Canis lupus familiaris: one gene and its partners. The protein of the gene in region 4 interacts with the protein of the main gene of each other region in a pairwise test. Links are inferred from orthologs where the notes say so. Each region holds a gene or a part of one and is shown on either strand. Other genes may lie near its edges.

What was found.
Region 1: the proteins of DAXX (region 4) and MX1 interact in a two-hybrid assay, tested with the Homo sapiens proteins (2 studies listed by BioGRID). The link is inferred for Canis lupus familiaris from reciprocal best matches to the Homo sapiens genes DAXX and MX1.
Region 2: the proteins of DAXX (region 4) and ferritin heavy chain interact in binary tests that used the Homo sapiens proteins (3 or more experiments, as listed by UniProt). The link is inferred for Canis lupus familiaris from reciprocal best matches to the Homo sapiens genes DAXX and FTH1.
Region 3: the proteins of DAXX (region 4) and ETS1 interact in binary tests that used the Homo sapiens proteins (3 or more experiments, as listed by UniProt). The link is inferred for Canis lupus familiaris from reciprocal best matches to the Homo sapiens genes DAXX and ETS1.
Region 5: the proteins of DAXX (region 4) and PRMT1 interact in a two-hybrid assay, tested with the Homo sapiens proteins (2 studies listed by BioGRID and IntAct). The link is inferred for Canis lupus familiaris from reciprocal best matches to the Homo sapiens genes DAXX and PRMT1.
Region 6: the proteins of DAXX (region 4) and GOLGA2 interact in binary tests that used the Homo sapiens proteins (3 or more experiments, as listed by UniProt). The two-hybrid records come from large-scale screens. The link is inferred for Canis lupus familiaris from reciprocal best matches to the Homo sapiens genes DAXX and GOLGA2.
Region 7: the proteins of DAXX (region 4) and BTBD6 interact in a two-hybrid assay, tested with the Homo sapiens proteins (2 studies listed by BioGRID and IntAct). The link is inferred for Canis lupus familiaris from reciprocal best matches to the Homo sapiens genes DAXX and BTBD6.

What each region holds. Positions count from the first base shown.
Region 1 is NC_049252.1:35,811,784-35,815,283, forward strand, and holds part of MX1 (interferon-induced GTP-binding protein Mx1), read left to right. Parts: intron 1-953; coding exon 954-1,199; intron 1,200-3,267; coding exon 3,268-3,498; 3' UTR 3,499-3,500.
Region 2 is NC_049239.1:55,067,097-55,071,132, reverse strand, and holds ferritin heavy chain, read right to left. Parts: upstream 2,801-4,036; 5' UTR 2,622-2,800; coding exon 2,508-2,621; intron 1,123-2,507; coding exon 976-1,122; intron 664-975; coding exon 538-663; intron 439-537; coding exon 274-438; intron 273-273; 3' UTR 183-272; downstream 1-182. UniProt on the Homo sapiens protein: Stores iron in a soluble, non-toxic, readily available form. Important for iron homeostasis. Has ferroxidase activity. Iron is taken up in the ferrous form and deposited as ferric hydroxides after oxidation. Also plays a role in delivery of iron to cells.
Region 3 is NC_049226.1:6,209,505-6,213,004, forward strand, and holds part of ETS1 (protein C-ets-1), read left to right. Parts: intron 1-797; coding exon 798-916; intron 917-1,870; coding exon 1,871-2,086; 3' UTR 2,087-3,500. UniProt on the Homo sapiens protein: Transcription factor. Directly controls the expression of cytokine and chemokine genes in a wide variety of different cellular contexts. May control the differentiation, survival and proliferation of lymphoid cells.
Region 4 is NC_049233.1:2,912,733-2,916,971, reverse strand, and holds the start of DAXX (death domain-associated protein 6), read left to right. Parts: upstream 1-1,439; 5' UTR 1,440-1,578; intron 1,579-1,722; exon of another isoform or gene 1,723-1,868; intron 1,869-1,874; exon of another isoform or gene 1,875-1,954; intron 1,955-2,746; 5' UTR 2,747-2,798; coding exon 2,799-3,005; intron 3,006-3,159; coding exon 3,160-3,988; intron 3,989-4,113; coding exon 4,114-4,239. UniProt on the Homo sapiens protein: Transcription corepressor known to repress transcriptional potential of several sumoylated transcription factors. Down-regulates basal and activated transcription.
Region 5 is NC_049222.1:107,533,427-107,537,372, reverse strand, and holds the start of PRMT1 (protein arginine N-methyltransferase 1), read left to right. Parts: upstream 1-1,146; 5' UTR 1,147-1,209; coding exon 1,210-1,245; intron 1,246-3,422; coding exon 3,423-3,476; intron 3,477-3,683; exon of another isoform or gene 3,684-3,781; coding exon of another isoform or gene 3,782-3,799; intron 3,800-3,946. UniProt on the Homo sapiens protein: Arginine methyltransferase that methylates (mono and asymmetric dimethylation) the guanidino nitrogens of arginyl residues present in proteins such as ESR1, histone H2, H3 and H4, FMR1, ILF3, HNRNPA1, HNRNPD, NFATC2IP, SUPT5H, TAF15, EWS, HABP4, SERBP1, RBM15, FOXO1, CHTOP, MAP3K5/ASK1, MICU1 and NPRL2.
Region 6 is NC_049230.1:55,321,471-55,325,692, reverse strand, and holds the start of GOLGA2 (golgin subfamily A member 2), read right to left. Parts: upstream 2,801-4,222; 5' UTR 2,690-2,800; coding exon 2,642-2,689; intron 1,123-2,641; coding exon 1,006-1,122; intron 1-1,005. Other genes in the region: DNA repair protein SWI5 homolog, read left to right, coding at 2,845-2,865, 2,933-3,147, 3,408-3,456. UniProt on the Homo sapiens protein: Peripheral membrane component of the cis-Golgi stack that acts as a membrane skeleton that maintains the structure of the Golgi apparatus, and as a vesicle thether that facilitates vesicle fusion to the Golgi membrane.
Region 7 is NC_049229.1:73,012,300-73,016,222, forward strand, and holds BTBD6 (BTB/POZ domain-containing protein 6), read left to right. Parts: upstream 1-1,285; coding exon 1,286-1,677; intron 1,678-1,767; exon of another isoform or gene 1,768-1,782; coding exon 1,783-1,873; exon of another isoform or gene 1,874-1,931; intron 1,932-1,988; coding exon 1,989-2,107; intron 2,108-2,225; coding exon 2,226-3,258; 3' UTR 3,259-3,423; downstream 3,424-3,923. Other genes in the region: BRF1 (transcription factor IIIB 90 kDa subunit), read right to left, coding at 1-26. UniProt on the Homo sapiens protein: Adapter protein for the cul3 E3 ubiquitin-protein ligase complex. Involved in late neuronal development and muscle formation.

The DNA of each region.
Region 1 (3,500 bases), on a different chromosome or scaffold from region 4:
AAAAAAAAAAAAAAAAAAAAAAAAAGTCAGCCTGATGCTGGAAAACAGATGCCATGGATTAAGACCATGTTCACTTTCTTGGGTATTTGGAGAAGTGGACTGGGTTGGGGGGGGGGGGGGCTTGGGGCGTGTCACTTAAGCTGCCTGGGCCTCTGGAAGGAACATGGAAGAAAATGTTTGGGGTGCACCTAGCAGTTTGCATCACACTTGGTGGCCGCCATTGAGCTCCGGGGACACCAGATATTTTCTGCATGAGAGACCTATTCCCCGGCCTTGGGGCAGCCAGTTTCTCTAAACTATAGGAATGTGAATCGTACAGAATTAAATGGATTTAAATTTGACCCCACTTTGACCCCCGTGAGCTCTCTGATGGGTATATACTCCTTTTTTGTTTGTTTTTTAAGATTTTATTTATTTATTTGAGAGACAGAGGGAGAACACAAGCAGGGGCAGAGGGAGAGGGAGAAGCAGACACCCCGCTGAGCTGGGAGCCGGATGCGGGGTTCGATCTCAGGACCCTGGGATCATGACCTGAGCCGAAGGCAGATGCTTCACTGACTGAGCCCCACAGGCACCCCTTGATTAGATGGGGCTCCATCTAATCCTGATTAGATTAAAACTCCTGATTAGATGGAAAAGATCCCAAAAGAGAAAGAAAGAATCTGAGAAATCAGGTCGGCACGCAGGGCCCGTGCGGGTTCCCAGGCTCAGGTCGGAGGGGTGGGGGGTCGCGGTCTGGGCACACCTGCGGCCCCAGGCTCCCGGGAGGTTGTGACCCCTGGCCGGGTGGGGGCACCAGCCTGGATGGGCCAGCGTGGGGTGCAGACCTCAAAGGGAGGTGCCGTCCTCATTCACACGGGAGCCGGTTAGCCGTGGGCTTCGCGGGGGACCTCCTTCCTCGACCCGGGGATTTGTTTCTGAGGGAACGCGGCCCTGCCTCTCTTTTGCCGTAGTCCAAAATCGAAGACATTAAATTCGAGCTAGAGAAAGAAGCTGAGAAGTCCATCCGACTTCACTTCCAAATGGAGCAGATCGTCTACTGCCAGGACCACGTCTATCAGCGGGCCCTGCAGAGGGTCAGGGAGAAGGATTCGGACGAGGAGAAGAAGAAGAAGACCAGCAGCATGAGCCATGACGAGGTTTCTTCCGTCAACATCTCCTTGTCTGAAATCTTGGAGCACCTGTTGGCCTACCGCCAGGTGAGTCTGCAAGCGTCTCCCAGTGGCGGTTTTCACGCCGTGTCCTTTCCTTGAAATGCCTCCCCTTGGCGCCCCCACCGGTCTGTGTGGCCACCGCCAGCCGGCAGCTCGCCCTCAGCCCTGTGGGCCCAGACGCGTCCCTGAAGATCCCATCTGGGCCCTACTGATGTGCAATGGGCCCCTGTCAATCACCCTCCCCCTCTTTGTCCTGGAGTCTTTTTCCAGAACCTGAATTCTGCTGGTTTGCTTTTTTAAATAAAGATTTATTTATTCATGAGAGACACAGAGAGAGAGAGAGAGAGAGAGAGAGAAGCAGGCTCCATGCAGGGAGCCCGATGTGGGACTCCAACCCAGGACTCCCGCTGTGGCCGTCTTTTTTAGGCAGAAACGTCCCCCAGTTCTTGCTCCTCCCAGCCTCGGTATGAATTTTTGAATGAGCTTCCCCACCCCCACCCCCATTCCTGATGAGAAAAGAGAGCTGTTGGCATCCTCCTGGCGATCCTGTGCATTTTGTCGCTGTGCCGGGGAGAGCTGACATCTTTGTGACAGGAAAGATTTCTGTCCAAGAGCCTCATGGGTCTCTCCGCTTTGCGATCTCCTTTTTGGGTGGGGTGGGGTGGGGGGCCCAGAGGTGTTGGTGTGTTTTGTCTTGGTGTCGACCGTGCACACTTGTGAAGTTTGTTCCCACGTGGTTCCTCGCGTCTGTCCCCGCTGTGAGCCTTTTCTTCCACCGTGTCTTGCTGGCTGTTGGATACGGTTTCCGCGTCTTATTTCACACGCCAAGCCCTTGCGGACGCTCCCCTCTCCTGTGGGACTTTTGCAGCCAATTCTCATGTATTTTCCCAATGAACACGATGCCAGCGGCGCTGCCCCTCGCGGACCTCCTTCCCGACCACACCCCCTCCCAATCCGCTGCCTGCCTCCCTCCTCTGCGCTGGGCCCTGCAGATCATCCGGATGCTCTCCCTAAGGTTAACGGCAGCTAACGATCTTCATTGCACCTGCATCCTCTACTCCCCTTTGTGGTGTGAGAGCGTGTGCCGTCCTGAGGTCAGGATGCGGTGTCCCCGCAGCCGACCCTGTCCCTGGTGTGCTCATCGTGAAATCGCGGGGGTGGAGGGGATGTCCCTGGGGTCAGCGGTTGGCACGACGGCCCGGCTCTGTGGGACCTGGGGAGGGCCAGGGCAGGGGTCCAGGGCGCCTGTTGTCACCACTCAGAAACTTCTCCTCCGTCCCCAAGGAGCTAGTTTCCTGCAAATGTGGCCGGTCTGCGTGGTCCTCTGTGTGGCCATCCTCCAGCATCATCTTCCGTGGGGCCCCAGCCCCGGCTGCTGGCTCCTCGTCTCCTTCCCTCCGCCTCCATGGCGTCCCTCGCTAGCTGTCATCCCCGGCACGAGCAATGTGTCCCAGCACCGCCCCTCGGGCTGCATTCACTATGCACTTATTCTGCACCTGGCATCTTCTTAAACTTTGGTGTTTCAGCTTGTTTAATCCTTTTTTAACCATCTCACGAGGCCAGGCGTAGCCTCAGTATTTCCTGGAGAATAGTGAGGCTGAACTTGCTGGGGTGCCGGGATGAATCGGCTTCCCGAGAGATGAGCCTGTCTCAAGAAAGAGAGGCTTGTTTCAGGGGCAGGTGGGGCCTGGGGAGGGAGGTGGGGGTGGCGAGGCTGACTTTGGACACGCAGGCCCCGCAGGGGGTTCCCCTCTGTGGATTTTCACAGCCCAGCCTCTGTTCTGCTAAATAATTTTTGTGTTGATTAAAAAAAATATTTTCAGTGGAATTGTAAATAAATCGAAAATGGAGTTTTCTTACCCCATCCGGCCATTTACCTTTTTCACGCGCATTTTATCGTCTCTGATCAGAGAAGGAAGCCGAGTGGTCAGGAATCCCTGGCGGGGAGGTGGAGTCAGGGCCGGGATTGGGGGGGGTCCCCCCTGTACTGTGGATTCCCCGCTGCCTCCAGCCCAGAGGACAGTGCTGGGTTCGAGAGATCCGGGCAGGGGGGACCTGCACCTGCCAGGTCCGGCCCCCCACCAAACCTCTGTGAACTCTTCTTCCCTGGCAGGAGGCCACCAACCGCATCTCCAGCCACATCCCCTTGATCATCCAGTACTTCATCCTGCAAGTGTACGGCCAGAAGCTGCAGAACGGCATGCTGCAGCTGCTCCAGGACAAGGACACCTACAGCTGGCTCCTGAAGGAGCGCAGTGACACCAGCGACAAGAGGAAGTTCCTGAAGGAGCGGCTGGCGCGGCTGGCCCAGGCTCGGCGCCGCTTAGCCAAATTCCCTGGTTAAGG
Region 2 (4,036 bases), on a different chromosome or scaffold from region 4:
CTCCCTAGGCATGTCATTTTGGTTACTGTGACTGAACTACAACACCTCAGCAGATTTCACAAAGATGACCTACTAAATACATTTCTAGCCCATCCCAAGAACTCAAGAAACAACAGCTGGGTACCAAATTACTTTATTTGAAGGAATGATACAAACGAAAGAAGTAGATGTTTCGGTACAACTTATAGAAAAGGTAAAGGTAACCCCAACATGCATGCACTGCCTCGGTGACCAGGGAAGTCACCCTGCGGCTATGGGAAGACAGCCTAAGGCTTAGCTCTCATTATCACTGTTTCCCAGGGTGTGCTTGTCAAAGAGATACTCTGCCATGCCAGATTCGGGAGCCCCCATCTTGCGCAGGTTGGTTACATGGTCACCCAATTCTTTGATGGATTTCACCTGCTCGTTCAGGTAATGAGTCTCAATGAAGTCACACAACTAGAAGACAGAATGGGGAAGAATGTTAACGGTACACTTTCCCAACCCCTAAAGAGGGAAATGACTCCCTCCATTCTCTCCCAGACTGCCAACACTCACGTGGGGGTCATTTTTATCAGTGGCCAGTTTGTGCAGTTCCAGTAGTGACTGATTCACGCTCTTTTCCAAGTGTAATGCACACTCCATTGCATTCAGCCCATTCTCCCAATCGTCACGGTCTGGTTTCTGAACGAGAGGAGAGGAGGTCAGGTCAATGCACGTACAGCCTCTACCTATTATTGCCCAAGTCAGCAAACACCTAACATGCAATCGTTGTGCTTTGGCAAGAGGGACATCCCAGTTTCTCCCACAATGGTTTCCAACTTAACAGCCTTGTGCCCATTACCGTTCACCTCCTTCAACTTAGAAGATAGGCTTAAAAAAACACAGAAGCCAAAAGTACTTCATTTTATAAGAGCAACTGCTAGCTTGAGGGATTTCTGACACCCAAGGACTTGCCGGATAGATGAGACACAGGATCTAAGATGTTTTGTTCACCTTAATATCCTGAAGGAAGATTCGACCACCTCGTTGGTTCTGCAGCTTCATCAGTTTCTCAGCATGTTCCCTCTCCTCATGAGATTGGTGGAGAAAATATTTGGCAAAGTTCTTCAAAGCCACATCATCGCGATCAAAGTAATAAGACTGAAAAGAGAACACGAACATGTTCTGTTAGGAATTGCCAAGCCTAGCCTTTCTTCCTCAAAGTCCAGCAAGAAAGGAGTCTGCACTGAAGACCGCGGACAGGCTGTGCTCTTGGACAGAACACAACACTAGTCTGTACTCTAAAACACAAAAATGAAACGCAGTCCTGGACATTTAAAGTTTACTGCAAGGAACCTTTAGAATATCATAGGGAATTGCCCCCAGCAGATAAATTCTTAAAGCCCTATATGAGAGCAAACTTCTTCTGGCCAGTGTCGCATTTGATTGGAGAGGGTGTGGGAGTATTTACCCTGTACTCCCTAACTCCCTGATTAAACCCATGTTAAAACATGAGCTTGCCAGCTTACAGCATACTGACGGATCTCTAAGATTAACCCATTAGGCAAGGTGACAACTGCTGGCAACGCTAAGCTGTACAAAGAAACTGCCAGCAGAAAACAGAAAACTTGATTCCGTTTTTAGACACTCGCTGAATCCAGGTGTTCCTGAAATGGAATGGCAGTCGCGGAAATCCAGGCCTATTTTCAAATTCATCTGGAACAGGTCTATTCTTAGATAATTTGCACAATCGTAAGGCAATCCTTTTTCTTTTTTTTTTTCTTTTGCAATCCTAAGGAAAACGCCCACCACACCGCCTAAAACCAGGATTTTGGAAAATGGATTCCATCGATCAGCACGGAAAGTTTCCTTGCCCAGTGACTGTTGGTGTAGTTTATTCTAAAACCAAGGGTTCAGCCACAAAAGGATAAAGTACTAAATGCCCGGGCAAGAGGACGGATGACTAAGACAACCGTGTGCGCAAAAGGGGAGATTTCCCTGCTTCAAGTGGGACTGGGCGATAAGCAGAACAGAGCGGGTAGCGATGGCTGCTCCAGAGTGGTCGGCCCCCGGGAGATAAGCCACTGAGCACCAACCCCCGCCCCCAACGGTTGCTATTCGACACCATTACCCAGCAGGCTCCGCCAGTCGCAGGGAGGACGGGGGCTGGACCACTTCGCCCCCGTCACCCAAGCAAAAGGACAGCCTCGGGGCCACGTGATCGACACGGAGAACAGGATGGAAACGCACACCCCGCTTTCCTAACTGCAGGATTGTGCCGGTTGCAGCTGCCGCAAGTCGGGGATTCCTTGAAACCAGGCTCTCTCTAAATACGAAGCGGCGCGCAGAGGCGGCCCTTGACTAAGAGGGAGCCCTCCCAGGGGGCCGTCAGAAAGGCCGAGCCGGCCAGAGTTTCTGCGCACGTCCTGAGAGGCCTCGAGCAGCGTCCATTTTCCAGCAGGGCGAGCAGGGGCGGGAGGGCCCAAGCGTCAGCCACACCCCCGCCCCGCCCCGCCGCCCGGAGCCCGGAGCCGAGCGGCGCTCACCATGGACAAGTAGACGTAAGACGCGTAGAGCTCCAGGTTGATCTGGCGGTTGATGGCGGCCTCGGAGTCCTGGTGGTAGTTCTGGCGCACCTGCGAGGGGGACGCGGTCGTCATGGCGGAGGCTGAGGAGAGGCGGCGGCGGCGGCGGCTGCGCGGCGCTGGGGCGGCGGCGGCGGAGGCCTCGGGGCGGTCCGAGAGCGCTGCGTGGAGGTGGCCGAGGGCTGGCTCTGAGCGGCGGGCCCGGGGAGGGGAGACGAGCGCCGGGTTCCGTCCAAGCACTGTTGAAGCAGGAAGCCGCGGCGACTCTCGGCGGAGACTGGCGCAGACCGCCGAGGCCCCGCTCTTATAGCGGGATCGGGCGTCACGCCCACTCCAGCCAATCAAGACGCCCGCCCGCGCGCGGAGCCCCGCCTCTTCCGGCGGGCGCGCGACCCCGCCCTGGGGGCGGTGGGGGAGGGGCGGCCCCGCGCGGGCTGAGGCGGCGGGCGTGTGGCCGCGCGCGGGGCGGGGCGGGGCGGGTGTCCTCGGCGTCCCGGCTCCCGCGATGGGGGGGGGCGGGGAAGAAGTGCGGTCGGGGTCGGGCGCGGAGCCCCGGCGCCCGGGGCTGGGAGCCGCCGGCACGTGTCCCCTGAGCCGTCCGGGCGGGCTCCCCGAGACATCCTGCCCCGGGGGCAGGTTAAAAGTCCGGGCGGCGGGGCAGCAGTTACCACACCCGGGGGGATCTCCTCGGGCGTCACCTGGAAAGTGGCAGTGGGAGCCCTAGGAGGTTGCGTCAGTTAGAGGTGGGGCGGGAGGGGCTCGCTCTCCCTTCCTCAGGGTCCGGCCGGGAGCGACACGCGGACGGGCTGGGGTCCCGGGGGCCGTCCCCGACCCTCGCCAACATGGCTCCCGGTGCAGCTTCCCCGACAGAGGCTGGGCGGGCCGTGGTTCCCGGGGAGATGCGGTGAGCGGGCGCCTTCGAGGGGGAGCCGTGAGGGACGAGCCCCCGGGGCTTCTGAGAAGATCCGGGGACGGGTTAGAAAAGGGAGGAGAAGCCACTGGGGATCTGGAGACGGAGCCATCTTGGAACGGCTGCCTTGGCGCACCCGGGTCAGGCCACAGCCGGCTCAAGCTGAGGAGATCTCCCGGGGAGCCACCTCCTGGGGCTGCCCCTGCGGAGCGGCCGGTGGGCACAGTGTCCACGGGACCGGGCAGGGCAGGGCAGGGCCGCCGAGTCCCTTCCTTCCAGGCGCCCGCCCTGTCGGCCGGCTTCCAGCTCCACTGTTCGCCACCAGGTCCTTCCGCACGGCTGGGAGACCTCGCCGAGGCCCTTTGGACGCTCACAAACATGAAACCTTAAGCTGAACTTCGCAACCTCAACAAAAAGAAGGCAGGCTCTAAAATGTTAAAATTCGTTGCTGACGGAATTCTGGTGATCTCTTTCTTGGGTCTCTACTGTTTTCGTTTCGGAATGAACATTTTACCTTCAGGAAAAAAAAATTTTTTTTAGGTCTAAAACTACAAAAATAAAATAAAATAAAATAAGCAGA
Region 3 (3,500 bases), on a different chromosome or scaffold from region 4:
ATCTTGGCAGTGTTGATGTCTAAGACAAGAGAACTGTGTGTGTGTGCACATAAGTTAGAATATACTGAACCCATAAATGATGTCTGAGACGGTCCTCACCTGACCTCTGAGGATTTTGTGGAGGGGCAGGTGAATCCCTTACAGAGTGATGGCGTCCTCCTTTCTTAGCTTGGGTGCCTGCCTGTGAGTGGGCCTGGTGGGGAACGGGATGGTGGTGGAGAGTATTATGACCTTATGACCGAAAGAATATCTAACTTCTGTGTCCTTGTTCGATGACCCCAGCATAGGGATCCTTGTCACTGACGAAGCAGGGGCCAGAGGCTAAGACAGAAAAGCATTTCTGGGGTTGGACTTCAGATTGGAACTGGCAAAGATCTTCCTTAGTTACTATCTTTATTCCTAGTTAAGGCAAAAATAATGAGTCAGTGCTTGAAGGCACAAAAGATTGTGCTGCCTTAGGATATCCCAGAGGATTCATCTAGTAATAATTTTCTTTCTAGGGTTTGCATAGCAGCAGACATGGACTGACCTTGGAGTCAGTCAAAATAATATTGATAAGACAAGGGTATATTGTAAGGTTTTTGTGTTTTTGTTTTTTTTTCCCCAATAGGAAGTTTTCCACCTTGCAGTCCTTTTGAACTCATAGCACCTCCTCCAACATTTGTGCTATGTGCTGCCTTCATTCTCTCGGGGCTGGATGGACTGGAGGGGAGGCAGGAGGAGTGCTATATAATGGGATTAATTGCTGGCAGTGCTGAGCATCTGGTGTAATGATTCACAATGGCTTGTGTTTCCAGGCAGTGGACCAATCCAGCTGTGGCAGTTTCTTCTGGAATTACTCACTGATAAATCCTGTCAGTCTTTTATCAGCTGGACAGGAGATGGCTGGGAGTTCAAGCTTTCTGACCCAGATGAGGTAAGAGGGGAGTGGCTTGAGAGCCCTGTGTTGGAGGAGGATGAGAGTGAACTCTGGAAAGTGGTGATGTGGGCCTGCATGACATTTTCTGGGATTCCAGCCCCACCTCTGCCCCTTGGTCCTTGTATGACCTCGAGCCAGTGACAAAGCCTGCCTGAGACTTGAGTTGCATCCTTTGGACAACAGAGAAGATATCTACACTGCCCATTTGTTTCCCAGGATTCATGGAAACGATACATAAGAAATGCCTGGCACATGGCGAGCCTTCATAAATACGGGTTGCCTTTTTTGACTTGGCACTTGTCCTGGTCCCATGGCCCTGTGAATCTAGAAGGGGGTCGGACAATTCAAGAGGTCTTGGAAGACCAGGACAATCTGTTCATTAATTCATGATTTTATTCAACAAATGCATGTGGAGCGGTTGCTCTGTGCCCTGCCCCATTCTGAGCACGACAGATTTGAAAACACCGACCAAGAGAGACAACATCTCGGGTCTGGCTGACTAGAAGATAGGATCCTCTGGTGTAGAAAAAAATTCTTCCCTTTGATGAAACACAGGCATGACTGCAGCTTAGCCCTGCCCCACTGTCTCACGTTAAATTTCATGCTTGCAGAGCGAAGGTATCCTACCAACAACATGAGGAAAGAGGAGAGTCTATAGTGTTGCTTATCTTTTTTCCCCCCATTATCAGGCACCTTAACTCTATTATATAGAAACACAAGGTCAATATATTTTCATTACTTTGAGCATTCTTGCCCAGCTCTTTTGAAAACTGGAATTCAGAATAAGTGGGTGAGAAAAAGATCTTCCATCCACTTGAATCTCAAGCCATCTTACCTGAACAACATCATGGGTCACGATGACGGGATATGGGGGCAAATAAACATATGTACTTGGATTATCCCATAGGTATTTACCCTGTCTCTTTTTCATTTTTTATTTTTAAATTTCAGGTGGCCAGGAGATGGGGAAAAAGGAAAAACAAACCTAAGATGAATTATGAGAAACTGAGCCGTGGCCTACGCTACTATTATGACAAAAACATCATCCACAAGACAGCGGGTAAACGCTATGTGTACCGCTTTGTGTGTGACCTGCAGAGCCTCCTGGGCTACACGCCTGAGGAACTCCACGCCATGCTGGACGTCAAGCCCGATGCCGACGAGTGATGGACACCACAGGGCTCGGGGAAACTCTGCTGAGACATTTTGAAGAACAACCATGTCGGTCGGACTCTTAATTTTTAATTGTTATTCTATTTTTAATTTTCCAGAACTCATTTTTTTACATTCAGGGGTGGGAGCTAAATGAGCTGCAGCTATAATCAATTGTGCGCAGTTGGAAAAAAAGAGAGCCAGGACTTGTGGGGTGGGTGGGACAAGAAATTCTTGAGCAAATTTTCAGGAGAGAGAGAGAAGGGTCTTCTTAGAAGCTTGAAGGATCTGGCTTAAGGGAGGAGGAGACGAATGTGTACCATTATTTCTAAAAATCATCCATAAAAAAATGTGTCTTGAGTTATGGATCTATTAGCAAAAGAAATTGAGACATCAGGAGTCATGAGACCCATGAAAGGCAATTACCTTGCTTTTGTTTTAAGGTCTGGGAGGGCAAAAAAAAAAAAAAAAAAAAAAAAGAGGGAGGTGGGATAAAACATTTGTGTGGGGGATGCACTAAAAAACAAGGACTATTTACTTTTGACTCGACTTTTGAAACAAAGATGGACTTCAATGGAGAGGGGCCCAAACTGTTTTTGTGTTAAAATCTATTTTATTAAATTTTGTGCCAGTATTTTTTTTTTCTTAAAAATCGTCTTAAGCTCTAAGGTGGTCTCAGTATCGCGGTATCATGCAAGTTTGTTTTTATTTGCCGGCTGAGAATTCTGTCAAAGTGCAAGGAAACTGTTTATATAGACCCCACTGGAAATGCAAAGTGCTGTCACTGAGATCGGGGATCCCAAATTCATGTGACTTCTATATGAAGTGAAAAAAATATATCACGCTGACTTGGGCACAAGGGACCTGTGCATGTGAATTTCATCTGGGTTTTAAAAAAGGATCACACCCCTCTACTTACCCGTCATTAGTGGATTCTCGGGGTTTGGACTTAACATTGAACTAAGAAGCATTAAGTCTTTGAACTGAATGTATTTTGCAGCCCTGGTTTTGGATCACGGTCGCTGTAGGAGCACTGTTGAAGTCATAGAAAGGAGATTGAAAGAGGAAGAATGACTTGTTGCTTTGTTGGTTCTATACCTGCAACATTTATGACTTGGAATAAACGCTGTGTGCATGGGCATTACCCCTCAGGTCTTAGGAAGTAAGTCCTGAATGCATGTCATCCCAGACCAACACTCTATACTTTCTCCTTTTCCCAGCATTCCACCTTTATTGCTTCCCCCCTCACCCCCACTACCCTGTTACCCAGTAGAGAGAAATGTACAGCTTTCCGACCCGTGAGTGAAAGAGCAATGTGGTCATGGCATGAGTTGACGGGTGGCTGACAAAGCCATTCAGACATCCTGGGTTTTAGGGACAGTGGAAATTAAGGTTGCATAGAAGTAAAATGTGGCTTGGCTGTCTTTGG
Region 4 (4,239 bases):
GAGCATGCGACTCTCGATCTTGGGGGTTGTAAGTTTGAGTCCCATGTTGGGTATAGAGATTACTTAAAAATAAAATCTTTAGGGGCGCCTCAGTGGCTGAGCATCTGCCTTTGGCTCAGGTGGTGACCCTGAGTCCCGCATTGAGCTCCCCAAAGGGAGCTTGCTTCTCCCTCTGCCTGTCTCAGCTCTCTCTGTGTCTCTCATGAATAAATAAAGAAAATCTTGAAAAAAGGAAAAAATAGTACTGATAGATTTGCTTGATGCAAATCTTCAATTTGTAAAAAACACATATCTGTGAAGCACAATAAAAGGAGGTATGCTTGCATGCATTTTTTTTTTTTTTTTAAGAGGGAGCAAGTCTATTATAAAAGGGAACCGGAAGAAAGAAAACCTTTACTTGCAGGCATTTACTCAGATCAATTTTGGGAAAGTCGAGAATCTGTAAATTAAATTCCTATGTCTCCTAAGTCTGCGTACCCTTTTGGGGAGTTTTCGTATTCCCTAATTTGAAGACTGTAGGCTTACATATGGTGTGGGATTCTTTAATGGCAGTGAGGGTTTGAGGTTCTGGTACTCTGTGGTCCTAGAAAGTGGCAAGATACTCACCACTTGTGGAATGTGACGCAGGGGAGGAGAATCTCCGTGTTAACCGGTGTGACTTCCCCATAAGCTCGTATTTGGACCCAACGTGGCCTCCACGAGTCCTTCCGGCCTCTTTAAAGTTGGGTGAGGTGCGGGTGTGGGCGAGGGGGCGTCAGTCAGTTTCTTGTCTCCCCGTTCTTTTCTCAGCTCTCCCAGAGGAAGAGGAAGAGACCAGTGGAGACTCAAGGTATTTTACAAGTCTCATTTCATCCAACAGCGGCAATTTGCACAGATTCTCCTCAAAGCCCCCGCCCCACATCGCGGTCCTATGGCCCTGGAGCTCCTGGACAAGGCACGGCCTCCAGGTCATCACTGCATGCACCTCGGGCACCCCACCAGAAAGGAACGGAGAACCACCTAGGTCTCACCTGCTGGGTGGGTCATTAGTTCCTTGGAGGCGCTTAAAACGAAGTCAATAACAATAGTAATAATAATAATAACAAATTTGTGTAGCGAATTGTGCTCGTTTGTATGCATGTGTTATGATTTCACTATTGGGAGGTGTGGGCACGGGGAAGTAGAAGTAGCTGCTGGACAGCGGCTGGGGAGCGCGCAGCCTGCAGAAAGGAAAGGGCAGGCGCAGTAGATGAAGCCGCGGAAAGGGTACCTGGCAGGTAGGAAAGCGGCGCCGGAAGGCTGGTCAATGGCCCAGCGGAAGGAAGAGGGTTTTTTTCCCTCTTAGGAGATTCTCGCTCTCCTATGCACCCCTGCACAGTCTTGGAGGGCCCAATTCCTTAGCTGTCCTGTTCCGTCCTCCCCTCCCCTACTTGGAAAGGTGGCTCAGTCCTTCCAGCACGCGACCCGCCGGCGGTTGGGCTGGATGCAGGAAGTTTCTGATTGGTGGAGTCGCAGAAGCACCGGGCGAAAAGAGCTCCGTCGGTGGCGCCCCCGAGTTCGGGCGTAGCCAGTACCGTACGGCAAGATGGCGGCCCCCAGGTACTTTGGGACGTCCTGCGGGGACAAGCCCGCCCTCTACTGGTCATAGGAAAGAGAGCGGCATACTCTGTGGGCGGCACTGGGCGGGGGGGCGGGCCTACCGCCACTTCCTGCCTCAGGGGGGCCGGGCGCCGTACGAAAATATGGCCGCGTCTAGGTGTCCGTAGGCGGAAACTCCGCGACTTCCGGTCCAGAGAAGGGCCTGCGGTGGGTGGGGGAAGGAAGGCGGAGGGAACCCTGCGAGGTTCTGAGATCAGCAGCGAGGGTCGCCTCGAGAGACCGTTTCTGAGGTGGGGGCCGGACCGTGCGGGGAGCGAAGGCAGGGGCGGGAATGTCGAGGGAGAGGTACTGGGGAGTCCCAGGCGCTGAGTCTGAGGTGCAAGCTGTGGTACCTTCCTTCCAATCCCTGAAGGGGAATGGGGCGGCCGGGGGCTGAACTGGGGGAGGGGGACTTGGCGGGAAGCTCATTCGGGGGAAGGGGTCGGATGCGGGGTTGGGATCTGAGAGGAATCCGGAGAGCTCAGTACTGGGCTCACAATCGGTTACAGGTCACAGAGAGAGAATGGGGGAATTCGGGTGGGGTGAGAGGGAGGGGACTTGAGGTGAGATCTCTCCAACCTAACGTCCCGGTTTGAGGAGACCCGTCAGAGGGTGGAATGTGAGAATAATCCCAGGAGGGGAAACGGGAGTGGATTGTTGGGAGAGAACCTCCTTCGCCTCTGAGAGTCTAGGAGTTGGGGGTGATCCTTCAGGATGGGATGAGGGTGTGGATTTGACGTGTTTGAGAGCGAAAGGGGGAAGGCTGGTGAGGTGGTGCTGACGGGGATGTGGTATCTGTGCGAGGGAATGTCGAGGAAATCCAGAGTGCACACGTGCAGGAGGTGGTCGAGAGATTGGAAAAGTCAACTTGGCAAGTATGAGAGATAGTGGGGAAACTGGATCTCGACAGAAGGGGTAGAGCTGGGGGTGGGGACTTAAGGTTTTCAGGTGGTTTCAGGTAGTGAAAGGTCAGAAAAGTGTCTGGTACTAGTGGTTGCTGAAGTTAGGCAGTGAGGACACTGTTGAGCAGGGCTGGGTGTTACTGAAACCCAAGAAGATTGGAAAATGTGTGAGATGAAGGGAGGGGCTATGCTGGAGGGGCTCTTTCTGAGGCCCCATCCCCTTCCAGCAGGAATTCCGAAATCCCCAACACTTCCTTCCTCCGGGGGATTTGATCCCCCATGGCCACCGCTAACAGCATCATCGTGCTGGATGATGATGACGAAGATGAAGCAGCTGCTCAGCCAGGGCCCTCCCACCCACCCCCCAATCCGGCCTCACCCCAGGCAGAAGCCCCTGGCTCCTCCCAGCCCCATGGGGCTGGAGGAAGCAGTAGTTCTGGCGGCAAGAAATGCTACAAGTTGGAGAATGAGAAGCTGTTTGAAGAGGTGAGCTTTAGGGGAGAAGATTCTTGTGCCCCAGGGAGGGGGATGGCTGACTGGCTCTGTAGTCCTTTCTTCCCCACTAATCCCGCCTTGCCTTCTTTCTCTCAACCCCTCCCCTTGTCTCTTCCCCCCTCCCTTCTTCTCCTGAAACCTCCAGTTCCTTGAACTCTGTAAGATGCAGACAGCAGACCACCCTGAGGTGGTCCCATTCCTCTATAACCGGCAGCAGCGTGCCCACTCTCTGTTTTTGGCTTCGGCGGAGTTCTGCAACATCCTCTCTCGGGTCCTATCCCGGGCCCAGAGCCGGCCAGCTAAGCTCTATGTCTACATTAATGAGCTCTGCACTGTTCTCAAGGCCCATTCAGCCAAGAAGAAGCTGAACCTGGCCCCTGCTGCCACCTCTAGTGAACCCTCTGGGAATAACCCTCCCACAGACCCCTCCTCGGACCCCACAAATGCCGAGACCACTGCCTCTGAGGCACCAAGGACCCGTGGTTCCCGGCGGCAGATCCAGCGCTTGGAGCAGCTGCTAGCGCTCTATGTGGCAGAGATCCGGCGGCTGCAGGAAAAAGAGTTGGATCTCTCAGAATTGGACGACCCAGACTCCACATACCTGCAGGAGGCAAGGTTGAAGCGTAAGCTGATCCGCCTCTTTGGGCGGCTTTGTGAGCTCAAAGACTGCTCTTCCCTGACGGGCCGTGTCATAGAGCAGCGCATTCCCTATCGTGGCACCCGCTACCCAGAGGTTAACAGGCGCATTGAGCGGCTCATCAACAAACCAGGGCCAGATACCTTCCCTGACTATGGAGATGTACTGCGGGCTGTGGAGAAGGCAGCTGCTCGGCACAGCCTTGGTCTTCCCCGACAGCAGCTCCAGCTCATGGCTCAGGATGCCTTCCGAGACGTGGGCATCAGGTTACAGGAGCGACGTCACCTTGATCTCATCTACAACTTTGGCTGTCACCTCACAGATGACTACAGGCCAGGTAGGGATTAGTGAGATGCCTACTGGTAACCCTTGTATGTCAGATGTTTGGTGGAGGGAGCATCTCTCTAGTCCCTTCTTCTAGGGTTTGGGCTGAGTACTCTGACTTTATATCTTCTCATGTAGGCATTGACCCTGCACTGTCAGATCCTGCCCTAGCCCGGCGCCTGCGAGAAAACCGGAGCTTGGCTATGAGCCGGCTGGATGAGGTCATCTCCAAATATGCAATGATGCAAGACAAGAGTGAGGAGG
Region 5 (3,946 bases), on a different chromosome or scaffold from region 4:
TTTGTGCATTCTTTCACTGATTTTTTTTAAAAGATTTTATTTATTTATTCATGAGAGACACAGAGAGAGAGGCAGAGACATAGGCAGAGGGAGAAGCAGCTCCCTGCGAGGAGCCCCCCGGGAGCCCCGCCCATGTAGGACTTGATCCCAGGTACCCGGTATGGCTGAGCCAAAGGCAGCCGATCAACCACTGAGCCACCCAGGCGCCCTAGGTGGATTAAATTTGAATGCATTTTCAGTTTATGATGTTTTCAATTTATCATGGGTCCCTGTAAGAGGAGGAACGCTTCCTGGAGGAGGTGGCATCGAAGGTGTGCCCCGGCTGATATATAGGAGTCGGCAGACAAAGGGAGGTGCGGGTTTTTAGCAGGGGGAGGGACTCGGCAAAGGCCAAGTGGCTTGAGTGGGGTTGTTGGATTTAAAAAACTCGGAAGTTAGGTAGAGGGCTAGGTGCTTATATGTCTCGAGGCCTGAGTCCTCTTGCTGACTTGCACCGCACACCAGACAAGCCCTCCTTTTCTCTGGACCTCTCAGGTCTCCAGTCTGTCCCTCAGGTAAATGACCACAAGCTCCCTCCTTCCTCCTGAACTTCCCCCCCCTCCCCTGCGACTGGGAGAATCCACCGAGTGGCTGAGGAGTGACTGTTCATTGAGCCAATCGCTGGAGCCTAAAGGCCCGTCTCTCCTCCCCTTCTCATGGGCCAATCGCCGCGTTCTCCTTGAGACCAGCAGCTTGACGGGGGCGGTGCAAAGGCTTCATGACGTCACGCTCAGGATAAACCAATAGCATCTATTAAGAGGCGGGTTGTTTTGATGATGGACAGCTCCCTTTCAAGATGTCCGCTTAACGCGGGGCCCGCCGGGAAGCTTTGAGGCGGTGCTGGGGGGACAGGGGCGGGAACTTCTGGTAGACTTTGCCCAATCAGCAGTCACGGTTCTTGCGATAGACGGGCAGTCTTTCCCATCCCCGTCGACTTAAGGGGGCGGGGCTCCGCACACCAGACTGGGCGGGCCCCTCAGCTTTGATGGGCGTCTCTCTTTGCCCAATTAGCAAGCGACATCCTCAGACGGGCCGCCTCCGTTGCCAATGAAATCTCCTGGCGGGGTCGTGGTGGGCGGGTCGTGGACCCTCCGGTATAAGGCGGTCCCGGGGGAGTGCGGAGAAAGGGGGGGGTCTCGGCGGCAGGAGGAGGAGTAGGTGCGGGTGAAGATGGCGGCAGCCGAGGCCGCGAACTGCATCATGGAGGTGAGCGCCTGGAGCGCTGCCGGGGGTGGGGGGCGGTTTGGGGGTCGATGTTTTGTGCCTCCGTCGTGGGGAAGGGGCCCCGAATGGGCGGATTGGGGCTGAAGGTTCTCAGCCGTACGGTGGGGACGCCGCATGCTGCGGATCGCGGGATACAGTCAGAGGTTCGGGTTTCCTAGCTTTCGGGGGTCTGCGGCACTCTGTCGAGCCGAGGGTGTCGTGCCCCCTCCCACGTGGAGGAGGGCTGGGGGCGCTTCCGGCCTGGCCCCCACGTGGCCGCGGCACGGTGGGTGGGGAGGGGGTGTGCCGTGCCCGGTGGCCCGACGGGCTCCACGTGCGGGACAAAGGCCCCGCCCCCGGCCGGGGGAGGGGCGCCCCGGGGGGGGGGCGGAGAGGAGGCTCCGACCCTCCCTCGGAGGCCCCCTGCCCTTTCCCCCGGGATCGCGACGTACCCCTCGGCGTGGGCTCACTTCTGTCCCTCCGAGAAGTAGAGTCTCTCGGGAGGGGCAGTGTAGCTCGGCCCTCCACAACCCCGTTCCCGATACCGCGGCATCTCCTTAGGCTTCGGTCCAGGTTTCGTGGACTCAGGGGTTGGGATTGGAGGAAGAGGAAGGATTGGTTCCCTCCGGGCCCCCGGTTTCCTGTCCCTGGATTCCCCCCTTCCCGGGGCTCTGGGAGCTGGGGGGATGGGGCATGCCCCTGTGACCTCCCTCCGGGTGGTGGGGGGGCCTCTGGTTGAAGGAGATTCTTCCCGATAAGGCGTCGTGCACCCCCTTGTGGCCATTTCTGGGTGTGTGGGAGGGACATCTTTTTCATGGGGCGTGTCCCAAAGCCCACCTCCCCTTTGGAGCCCTCCCGGGCTAGGGGAGGGAGAGTCTCTGCTGGGAAGAGCTTGTGGGGGAATATAAGCTACCTCCTACTGGAGACTTTTCTCTCCTCGGCGCCTAGATACGCGAAGGTGGGAGATGACCTCCCCCTTTCTGAAGCCCTGTTTGAGGGTCCTGAGCCTGGAGGCTTGAGATGGTGTCCTGAGAAGTTTGATTCTTGTGCAGCCATGTGGGCTTGGTTCCGGTGCTGTTTCAAGCTCCCTTGGGACTTGCTCGGCTGTGGTGTTAGTGGTATTGAGAAATGGGTCCCAGTGGGAAATCCCCTTACCCGTCACCCTTCTTTGTAGGTGTCCTCACTGGCTTGGGAGAATGGGGGCGGGGCTTGGAGCTGAGTGGGTCTTGTGTGTGACTTCGTGCTTCTGAGGGGCCTGGAGAGTGGTCATATCCGGAAGAGATGTCATCTGATGGGGCCTGCATGATCCCTCCTCTTACCTTGTAGCATTGGGGGCCAGCGGCCCCCAGGGGTCACTCCAATGACTTCCATCCCCCTTGGCTCTCTCCTGGACCAGAGTCTGTATGGGTGGAGGAAATATCTCTTTTAGAGGTTGCCTCAGGATTTGGCCCCACACCCCAGGGGCTTTGGGCCCTGGGATGGGTGTCAATGGGTTTGAGGGGCCAGAGTTTGGCCTCCTCCCTGGGACTCTACCTTCCTGGGAAGAGGGAACGAAGCTTGGAGATTGGCTCCAGCTGGTGGTTTTGTTTGGGGCTTCCTGAGCCCAAGGCAGGAGCTAGGGGTCAGGGTGCCAACTCTGGTAGGGGTGCCTGTGTGCCACACCTCCTTTCTGGAATCCTCTTAGACAAGAGGCTTGTTTGCAAAGGTGGTAGATGCCCAGTGGGTACACACTGCCAGCGCCCCCCCCCCCCCAGCTACTCTTGGCACCCTGGGATGGGGGTGTGTGTGTGTGTGTCAGGAAGTGTCACCTAATCTGGGGGGGATTAGATGATGAGGGGGAGTGACAGCTGGCAGTGCCTGTGTGCCTGGCGGGTGCCAGCTCCTCTGGCCTGGATGGGGGAGGTGTGTATGGTCAGGTGCCTGGCCAGAGAGGGCAACGTGGGGGCGGGCCACCATCTCTCCAGCCGTAGCTGGGACAGAACCCCATCTCTTCTCCCCCCACTTTTCCCACCCCCTTTTGAAAACAGCCCTGCCTCTTTACTCCCTCTGCCACCACTCCCCACCAAGGAAAAAGAAAATTGCAGGAAACACCCCCTCCCCTGTGAGCTGGGGTCCCCTGGCCTGGCCCTCCCCTAGCCACTCCCAGTAGCTAATCCTTTCTCCCTGTTACTCTCTCCTAGAATTTTGTAGCCACCTTGGCTAATGGGATGAGCCTCCAGCCGCCTCTTGAAGAAGTAAATATCCTTTTGTGAGACCCTTCCCCACATACATATATCTTGCCACATTATCAGGCCCTTTCTAGCAGGCTAACCATGATTTCTCTCGCTTCAAACCAGTTTACCCTGTGCCCCCAAACCGTTAGTACAAACCACCCTCCAGGTCTGTGGCTCCCATCTGGCCTCCCCAAGTACCGTGGCTACTTCCTTAACTCCATTTCCAGCCCCCCCACCTGCCCTTCCCGTGTCTGCCCCAATTCTGCCTTCCCCTCCCCTCCCCAGCTGTGGGCTGAGCTAGAGACGGGGGCAGAAAGACTGGAGAGATGGTAGGCGTGGCTGAGGTATTGGGGTGCTCCCTTGGATGGTGCTCTGGGGGGGTCCTGGAAGAGGAAAGTGGGGTTGTAAGGTTTTGGGGCTCGTGGGGGAGGCAGGACGGCAGGTGGGGCCTTTAGGGTTGCCATGGTATGATTGGGGGGAGGATCTGTTCT
Region 6 (4,222 bases), on a different chromosome or scaffold from region 4:
AAATCCATGGCCTGTGCTGCCTTCCCAAACAGCCACCTGCTGCCGTGCTGGAGGCAGAAATCAATGTACCCAGATGGAAAAGTCCCCTGAACGAGACCGAGAACGCGATCACCAGCCCAATGCAGGTGTTATTTTAATACATTCATCAGACCCTCTCCTCAGACCCGGGTGCTGGGGACAAATCTGACAGGCTTGCAACTCCATTTTAAAAACCAGACTTCCATGGAGGGTTCGCTTGAACAAAGGGAGCTCCAGCTAGAAGTCTGAAAGACACTGATCTGCTCCAACAATATCATCTTACAGAAGAGGAAACTGGGCCCAGGGGAGGAAGTGATTTTCCTGAGGTCGCCCAGCAAACTGGTGGCAAAGATGGACTCAAAATTCACTGTCACCTAACCCAAATGCTTGGTCTCCTTGCTACACCCTGGGTCTCTTTTGGTGCTTCCTATAGGGACAGTGTGATGGCAGATGGCTATTCTCACTGCCTGGCTTCCCCCCTGAAGCCAGGGATGAGGAAAGTCACCAGGTCAGTATGTCAAATAGGACTACCCTTGACTGAATGCTTATCCCACACCAGGCCCTAAGGGATTAATATAAAAACAACATCAATGGGGCATCTGGACAGCTTAGTTGGTTAAGTGTCCGACTCCTGAGTTCTTCCGGCTCAGGTCATGATCTCAGAGTCATGGGATCCAGCCAGACATCAGGCTCCGTGCTCAGCAGGGAGTCTGCTTGAGGATTCTCTCTCCCTCTTCCTTTGCCCCTCCCCCTGCTCTCTCTCAAATAAATAAACCCTTAAAAGAAACAAAAAAAATCAACCATCTCATTCCAGTGTCACCAGTGTTAAGACATTATTACCCCAACTTTATTGATGGGGCATATTCCCAGCAGAGGGAGAGGTAGGATTCAAATCCGTACCTGACATCTCCTCCACAGTATCAACCACCACCCTCTACTGCCCCTCAAACACCCCTGGCCCCAGGAACCTGGCCAGCCAGTACTCACATCCTCAGGAGAGTGACAATCATTGGAAGTGGTAGTCTCAGGGCTACTGCCATTTTTAATCTTCCTTTTCTTCTTTGCTCCTACACCAGGGCTGTTCTTCTGCTGATACTCCCTCAACTACAGAAAGGAAAATCAGTGGGGCTCATGAGAACTATAAACCCCTGTATTCATGTCCAACTTTGTAGTTTACAATATACTCCCATACTCGCCATCTGACTTAATGCCACCAACAGCCCTACAAGGTGTTGTAATTCTCAGTGACTGCAGAAATAGACTGATAACATGACTAAGAAAAGAAAAGGCAATAATGGAATTTAAACTTAGGCAATAATGGAATTTAAACTTAGTCTTCTGACTCCGAGTTCTGGGGTTATGCCATGAAATCAGCAGGTGCCAAAAGGCAAAACCAGAGGTGGAGGTGGAAAAGGTGGGAAAAATAACATCTGAGTAATCTGACTTTAGAGTCCTTTCCTACAAATCTGTTAAAGCTGCACATTGGTATTTATCAAACTTTTATATCAACGTATCCTGATGGCAGAAGGCAGTAAAGGCACACACCTAGTGAATGTGGAAACCTAACAGAAAGAGGACAATCCAAGCACCATTTCAGAGAGAAGTCTATCATAATCTTACAAATCTACACAAATGTCATCCCTAGTACATTACTATAAAAGGATTTTTCTTTCTCAAAAGAATCAAGCACAATTGATGCTTCAGTTCTATATTATCCTGTGGCCCTCAGAACACTCCATGTTGAGATGATGATTTGGGGAAGATTCCCACCTATGAAATTCAGGTTCCAGAGATCAGTTCCACAGAGGATAAGCAGATCTCACTCCAAAGAGCACTGATTGATGGGGGGGAGGCGGGGGGGACTCTGGTCCAGAATCATAAGGAATTAAAATGTGAGGTAGAGAATTCAGATTTAATATGTGAAAGTCTTTCTGGACAGTAGAAACCTAAAAGGAAACCATACCAAAGAAAACACACTCTCCCCATTGTCACCAAGGTGTTATCAATGTTCCATGATCACTGGTGTAGTCAATGTTTAAGGATGGGGTACAGTCTAGAGTAAGGGCTCCTGAAACCTCTCCCACCTAGGTCCCATAGTCCCCAGTCCCCTTCAAGCTGGAAATTTGCGCCGCGACCGGAGAAACCGGAAAGGGTATGAAAACACTGGGAGACTGGGTAGTAAGACCAAACACCGGGGCTCCTGGCGCTAATGACAGTTCCGAGGGGGATTGTGACGTAACTACATTCCCCTCCTCCCTACCAACGCCCGAGTCGCCGCTCCGCGGTGGGGGAGGGGAAAGCAGGGCTGGGACCGAGGTCCCTGGACACCGGGACCGGCCTGGAGAGCCCAGGTCCTCCGCTTCTGGGTGGCAGAAGGCTAGGGCCAAACCTGGAGCAGGGAGCCCGGGGAGTCACCAGCCCAAAGTCACCGGGGGCGGCGGGCGAGGGCGGGGGCTGGGCAGCCGGGGGGCGGGACTGGCTGAGACGACTTGGGGTGGGGGGCGCCAAGGGGCGTCACGGGGCTAGCCCCGTGTGCCTCAGGGGCAGCAAAGATTCTGGCCACGGCCCGGCCGTCCGAGGGGCCTTTGGCTGGGTCAGGGAGCCGCGACCCGGCACGTTTTACCTTTTTCTTGGCCGCAGCCAATTTGCTCTGTCGGGTTTCTTCCGACATCCCGGGACGGGGAGGGGTAAGGGGGGTGGCCACATCACCGCGATCCCGGCAACCACCGCGGCATCACTTCCGGCAGTCACCGCGCCGGTGTGCGACTGAGCCAGAAAGGGAGGGACCCTAGAGTTTCTAGGTAGCAGCTGGTGGGCGTGGCCTCAATGCTCCAATTCTATTGGCTGGTGAGAAAGATGAACGGGGGAATGGGCGTGGTCAGGTTGCCGCGAGCGGGTGGAGTGACAATGAAAGCTGCGCGCGCAGCCTCTGGCCCCGCCCACTTCGGGGCGGGGGCGGGACCTGGCTTTGCAGGTTGCGCGCGCATTTAGCCACCCAGCCGTCGGCGTCTCCGTCCTAAGATTCCGAGTACCTGGTGGGCCAGAGGGGCCGCTCTCCCGCCCCGCCCTGGACCCTTCTGCACTGCATACTCCCCCGAGACGGGGGCCCCGGACCCCAGGGCTCCGGAGGTGGGCGAGGAGCGGATAGCAGGGCGAAAGCGCATCCCTTCACAGTCCCTTTCCTGACTCCCCATTGCCGGGCCTCAGACTCTGGTCCCAGAGATCACTTCCAGAGACCCCCATCTAGCCCCCCACACTCCCTGCCCTCATCTCGGACCGTATCTGCCCCTCCCCAACTCCTTACCTCCCACACCCCCACGTAACCCTCTCCTCTCAGAGCGGACTGACTCTAGGTTCAATCAGCCTTTTGTCTTCGGATTCCTCTCCAGGACTCAACCAGGACTTTCCCAAAGTTGCCGCGGGGCCTTCCAATCCCCTGTGAGTATGCCTGTGACCCCCACCCCTTTCTCTCCCTCCGCAGTGTGAAGTCAGTGCTGCTCCCAGCCCTCCTCTCCATCCCCAGCCCCCTTCAAGTCTTCCCCCAGCACATCTTGTTCTGCTGAGGAACTCCGGGTCATTTCTCAGTCCTTCTGCCTTCTTTTCCTCCTGCCCACCAAGATTCAAAGGAGAAGCAGTGTCCTGGCCTTTGCCTGTGGTACCCCAGGCTCCCCCAGTAGGCTCTGTCTCTCCTCCTTGCCGGGAGCACCCTGATCTCCTCCCTCACCCACCACCCCACACAAAAACCACTCTCATTCCCCCAGACGCGCGTGCGCTCTCGTGCCTTTGCCATTTGAATATACTGTGCGCTTCTGGAATACTTCCCTTGCAGCTTTTTAGCAAGGTGATGCCTGCTCATCCTTCCGGGTTGAGAATCCCCGAGAGGAGCCTCACTCACCCCCACTTCTGACTCGGTCCAGTTGCTCAATTAGACACTCCCTTAGCACACTGTACTTCACCTAAAAAGCACTTTTCAGACTTGTTGTTAGTTGATTAATTATTTGTCATTCATTCATTCACTGGACACCTTTTTATTGAGTGCCTCCCGTGTGCCAGGCACTGTTGGGGCACAGTGAACAAAACACAGTCCCTGCCCTCATGGAGTTCATACTCCAGTGGCATGAGGCCAACAACATATTATCAATGAAATGTATATGTCAGGTGGTGATAGATGTTTTAAAATATCAGGACAAAAGAATAGTAAGCC
Region 7 (3,923 bases), on a different chromosome or scaffold from region 4:
AAAGCGGGGGATGTAGAGGCACGGGTCTGCGGCAGACACACTGCGTCAGCGGGGCCAGGGCGAGTCCTGGGGCAGCAGCCGCCCCCCTCTCCAGGCCCAGGAGGCACGTGGCGCAGGGCCTCCGCCAGGGCGACCCCTCCCAGTCCTGCCCGACCCTGGGCTGGGGGTGCCCGCCCTCGTCCCTCGTCCCTCGTCCCTCGTCCCTCCCACAGCTGCCTCGGGGCAGGGTGCTGAGCCCGCGGGCAGCCGCAGGTTGTACACACGCCCCACGGCGAGCGCCTTTCCCCCCGTCTGCCGCCTGCATCTGCCGGTGGGACTCTGCCCTCGTCTGCGGGCGGGAGCGCGTCTCTAGCGGCCACGTTAGTCGGCAAGGCAGGGCTCCGGAGGGACCCGGGGGCGCGCGCAGGCCCCCTCCCCCTGCCAGCCTCGGGCACAGCGCAGCAGAGCGTCGCGGCGGGGTCACCTGGGAAGGCCCTGCCCGGGCGGGGGCGGGGGCCAGCAGGGGGCGGGCCAGGCTGGGGGCGGCCGGGAGCCCCGGGGCCGGGACTGCTGAGCCGTCCTCCCCGGCTCGGGGCCCACCTGGCTGCGCTCTGGGCCCTTGCACCCTCTGCCCGTCTCGGTTCCCAGAAGGGAGCAGAGATGAGCGGCCACCCCGAGGCGTTCCGGGTCCCCAGGGCCGTGGGGGCCGCGGGGCGGACGCCGTGGGGACCCGCCGGCCCAGCCCCCGCACCGGACCCTGCGCCCCGAGGCCCCGGAGCCGCCGGACGCACGGCCGGGGAGGGCAGGGAAGGGCCCGGCGGGCGGGGGCGACCTGCGAGGGGCCGTGCGCGTGCCCGCACCCGGGCGGGGGCCCTGGACGCCCCACAGCGCCGCGCCCGGGCCAGCGCGCGCGCCCCCTGCGCCCCGGGGCCGCGCGCCCCCTCGCTCCCGCCGGCGCCTGCGCACCTGCCGCCCCGCCCCAGCCCCCCCGCGGGGAGGCGGGGCCGGGACGCAGGGGCGGGAGCGCGCACGCCCTCCGCGCGGGGGCGGGGCCGGGACGCAGGGCCGGGAGCGCGCACGTCCCCCGCGGGGGGCGGGGCCGGCCCGGCCGTGACGGGCGTGACGTGCGGGCGCCGCGGCGGCAGGGGCGAGGGCGGGCCGGACGGCGCCCCCTGCGGCCGCGCTGCGGGCTGCGGCTGGGGCTGCGGCTCGGGCTCGGGCTCGGGCTCGGACTCGGGCTGCGCGCCGGCGGGGCGGGGCGGGGCGGGGCGGGGCGGCCCGAGGCAGCAGCGCCCGCCGCGGCCCCATGCTGCTGCCCCTGGCCTGCCTGCACGGCCGGGTGGCGCAGTGCCTCACGGCGCTCCTGGTGCTCGCCGAGCCGCCCCCCCGGCCCCGGCCCCGGCCCCGGCCCCGACCCCGGCGCGGCGCGAGGGTGCACGGGGCGCCGCCGACGCGCGCGGAGGCCGCCCTGCCCGCGAAGATGGCCGCGGAGCTGTACCCCGCCGCCGCCGCCGCCGCCGCCACGGACATCGCCAACAGCAACGCCAACGCCGCCGCCGCCGCCGCCGCCGGCAGGAAGGGCCCGCCCAGCGCCCCGCCGCCCGCCCCGCCGCCGCCCGCGCCCGCGCCCCCCGCGCCCGACAACAACAACTTGGAGAGCCCCAACTGGCAGTCCTTCCACCCGACCCTGCGCGAGAGGTGAGCCCGGCCGCCCCCGCGCCCCCGCCCGCGCCCCCGCCCGCGCCCCCGCCCGCGCCCCCGCCCGCGCCCCCGCGAGCCCGAGCCTGCCTCTGCCCTTCGCAGGAACGCGCTCATGTTCAACAACGAGCTCATGGCCGACGTGCACTTCATCGTGGGGCCCCCGGGAGCCGCCCGCAGGGTGCCCGCGCACAAGGTGAGCCGAGCCGCGGCCCGGCCGCCCGGCACCCCGGGGTGGCCCTCCTCGGCCTCCGCGGGGCGGGGCGGGGCGGGGCGGGGCGGGGCTCAGGGCAGCTTCCCTCTCCCCGCAGTACGTCCTGGCCGTCGGTAGCTCCGTCTTCTATGCCATGTTCTACGGCGACTTGGCAGAAGTCAAGTCGGAGATCCACATCCCCGACGTGGAGCCTGCGGCCTTCCTGATCCTGCTGAGGTGCGTGTGCCCCGGAGCCGCGGGTCGGGAGGCGGGGAGGCGGGGAGGCGGGAACGCTGCGGGCCCGGGTCGGCGGCAGGGCCCACGCAGCCCGTGACGCGGCCCCCACCCTGCCTAGGTACATGTACAGTGACGAGATTGACCTGGAGGCCGACACGGTGCTGGCCACTCTCTACGCCGCCAAGAAGTACATCGTCCCCGCGCTAGCAAAAGCCTGTGTCAACTTCCTGGAGACGAGCCTGGAAGCCAAGAACGCCTGTGTCCTGCTGTCCCAGAGCCGGCTGTTTGAGGAGCCGGAGCTGACCCAGCGCTGCTGGGAGGTCATTGATGCTCAGGCCGAGATGGCCCTGAGATCTGAAGGCTTCTGCGAAATCGACTGGCAGACTCTGGAAATCATCGTGACGCGGGAGGCCCTCAACGCCAAGGAGGCAGTGGTCTTCGAGGCCGTCCTGAACTGGGCTGAAGCCGAGTGCAAGAGGCAGGGCCTGCCGGTCACCCCACGCAACAAGAGGCACGTTTTGGGGCCTGCCCTCTATCTGGTCCGAATTCCAACCATGACCCTGGAGGAGTTTGCCAACGGCGCAGCCCAGTCGGACATCCTGACCCTGGAGGAGACCCACGACATCTTCCTATGGTACACGGCATCCAACAAGCCCCTCCTCAACTTCCCCCTGACCAAGAGGAAGGGCCTTGCCCCGCAGCGGTGCCACCGGTTCCAGTCTTCTGCCTACCGCAGCAACCAGTGGCGCTACCGTGGGCGCTGTGACAGCATCCAGTTTGCCGTGGACAGGAGGGTGTTTGTTGCAGGGCTGGGCCTGTACGGGTCCAGCTCCGGGAAAGCCGAGTACAGCGTGAAGATCGAACTCAAACGGCTGGGGGTGGTCCTGGCTCAGAACCTGACCAAGTTTGTGTCGGACGGCTCCAGCAACACCTTCTCGGTGTGGTTTGAACACCCCGTGCAGGTCGAGCAGGACACCTTCTACACAGCCAGTGCCGTCCTGGATGGCAGCGAGCTCAGCTATTTCGGGCAGGAAGGCATGACGGAAGTACAGTGTGGGAAGGTGACCTTCCAGTTCCAGTGCTCCTCGGACAGCACCAACGGGACCGGGGTCCAGGGTGGGCAGATCCCCGAGCTCATCTTCTATGCCTGAGGGGCCCTGGGCTGGCGTGGATGCCCTGCCCTCTGCTGGGCACCATGAGGAGGCCTTTCTCTGCAGCTGGTCCGGCCGGGAAGGGAAGTGCAGGACATTGTGCTACCCGTCCCCCAGCTGGCTGCCTTCCTGACCCCATTAAAGGCTTCGCCAACTTTGTACTTCTCTCGTACTAGTCAGCTGCAGTCCAGAGCTGGGAACCAGAGGCTCCTCTGCACAGCCAGAGCCTGGGGTGCTGAGTGTTGGCTGCTGGGCAGATCTGGGGGTGCAAGGCAGGCTTCATCCAGGTCCCCTCCCAGTGGTGCCCACACCGTGGCTAGCTCTGGGGACCTTGCCATCCATCCCACCCTCATGAATTCACAGTGGTACGACGCCTAGCCCAGACCTTCCCTTCAAATCCACATTTGGGAAAAAATACCTAAAACAGTCCACGTCTACCTGGATTTTCATAACAAAGTTTCAGTGAAACGAGCTACCAATAGATTAGTGACGGAAGGAGCGTGAAGCTGGGGCAGGTGCCTTCCCCTGTGTTCCTTCCAGCACACAAAAAGCTCTCACTGAGCCCTGCTTCCTGGTTAGAAACAAACTGCCCCCTGGGGAGGTCGGCTGTCCCTGAGCATGCCCTCTGCTGGCAGGCTGGCTTCTGCTGTGGGTCTGTCACTAGA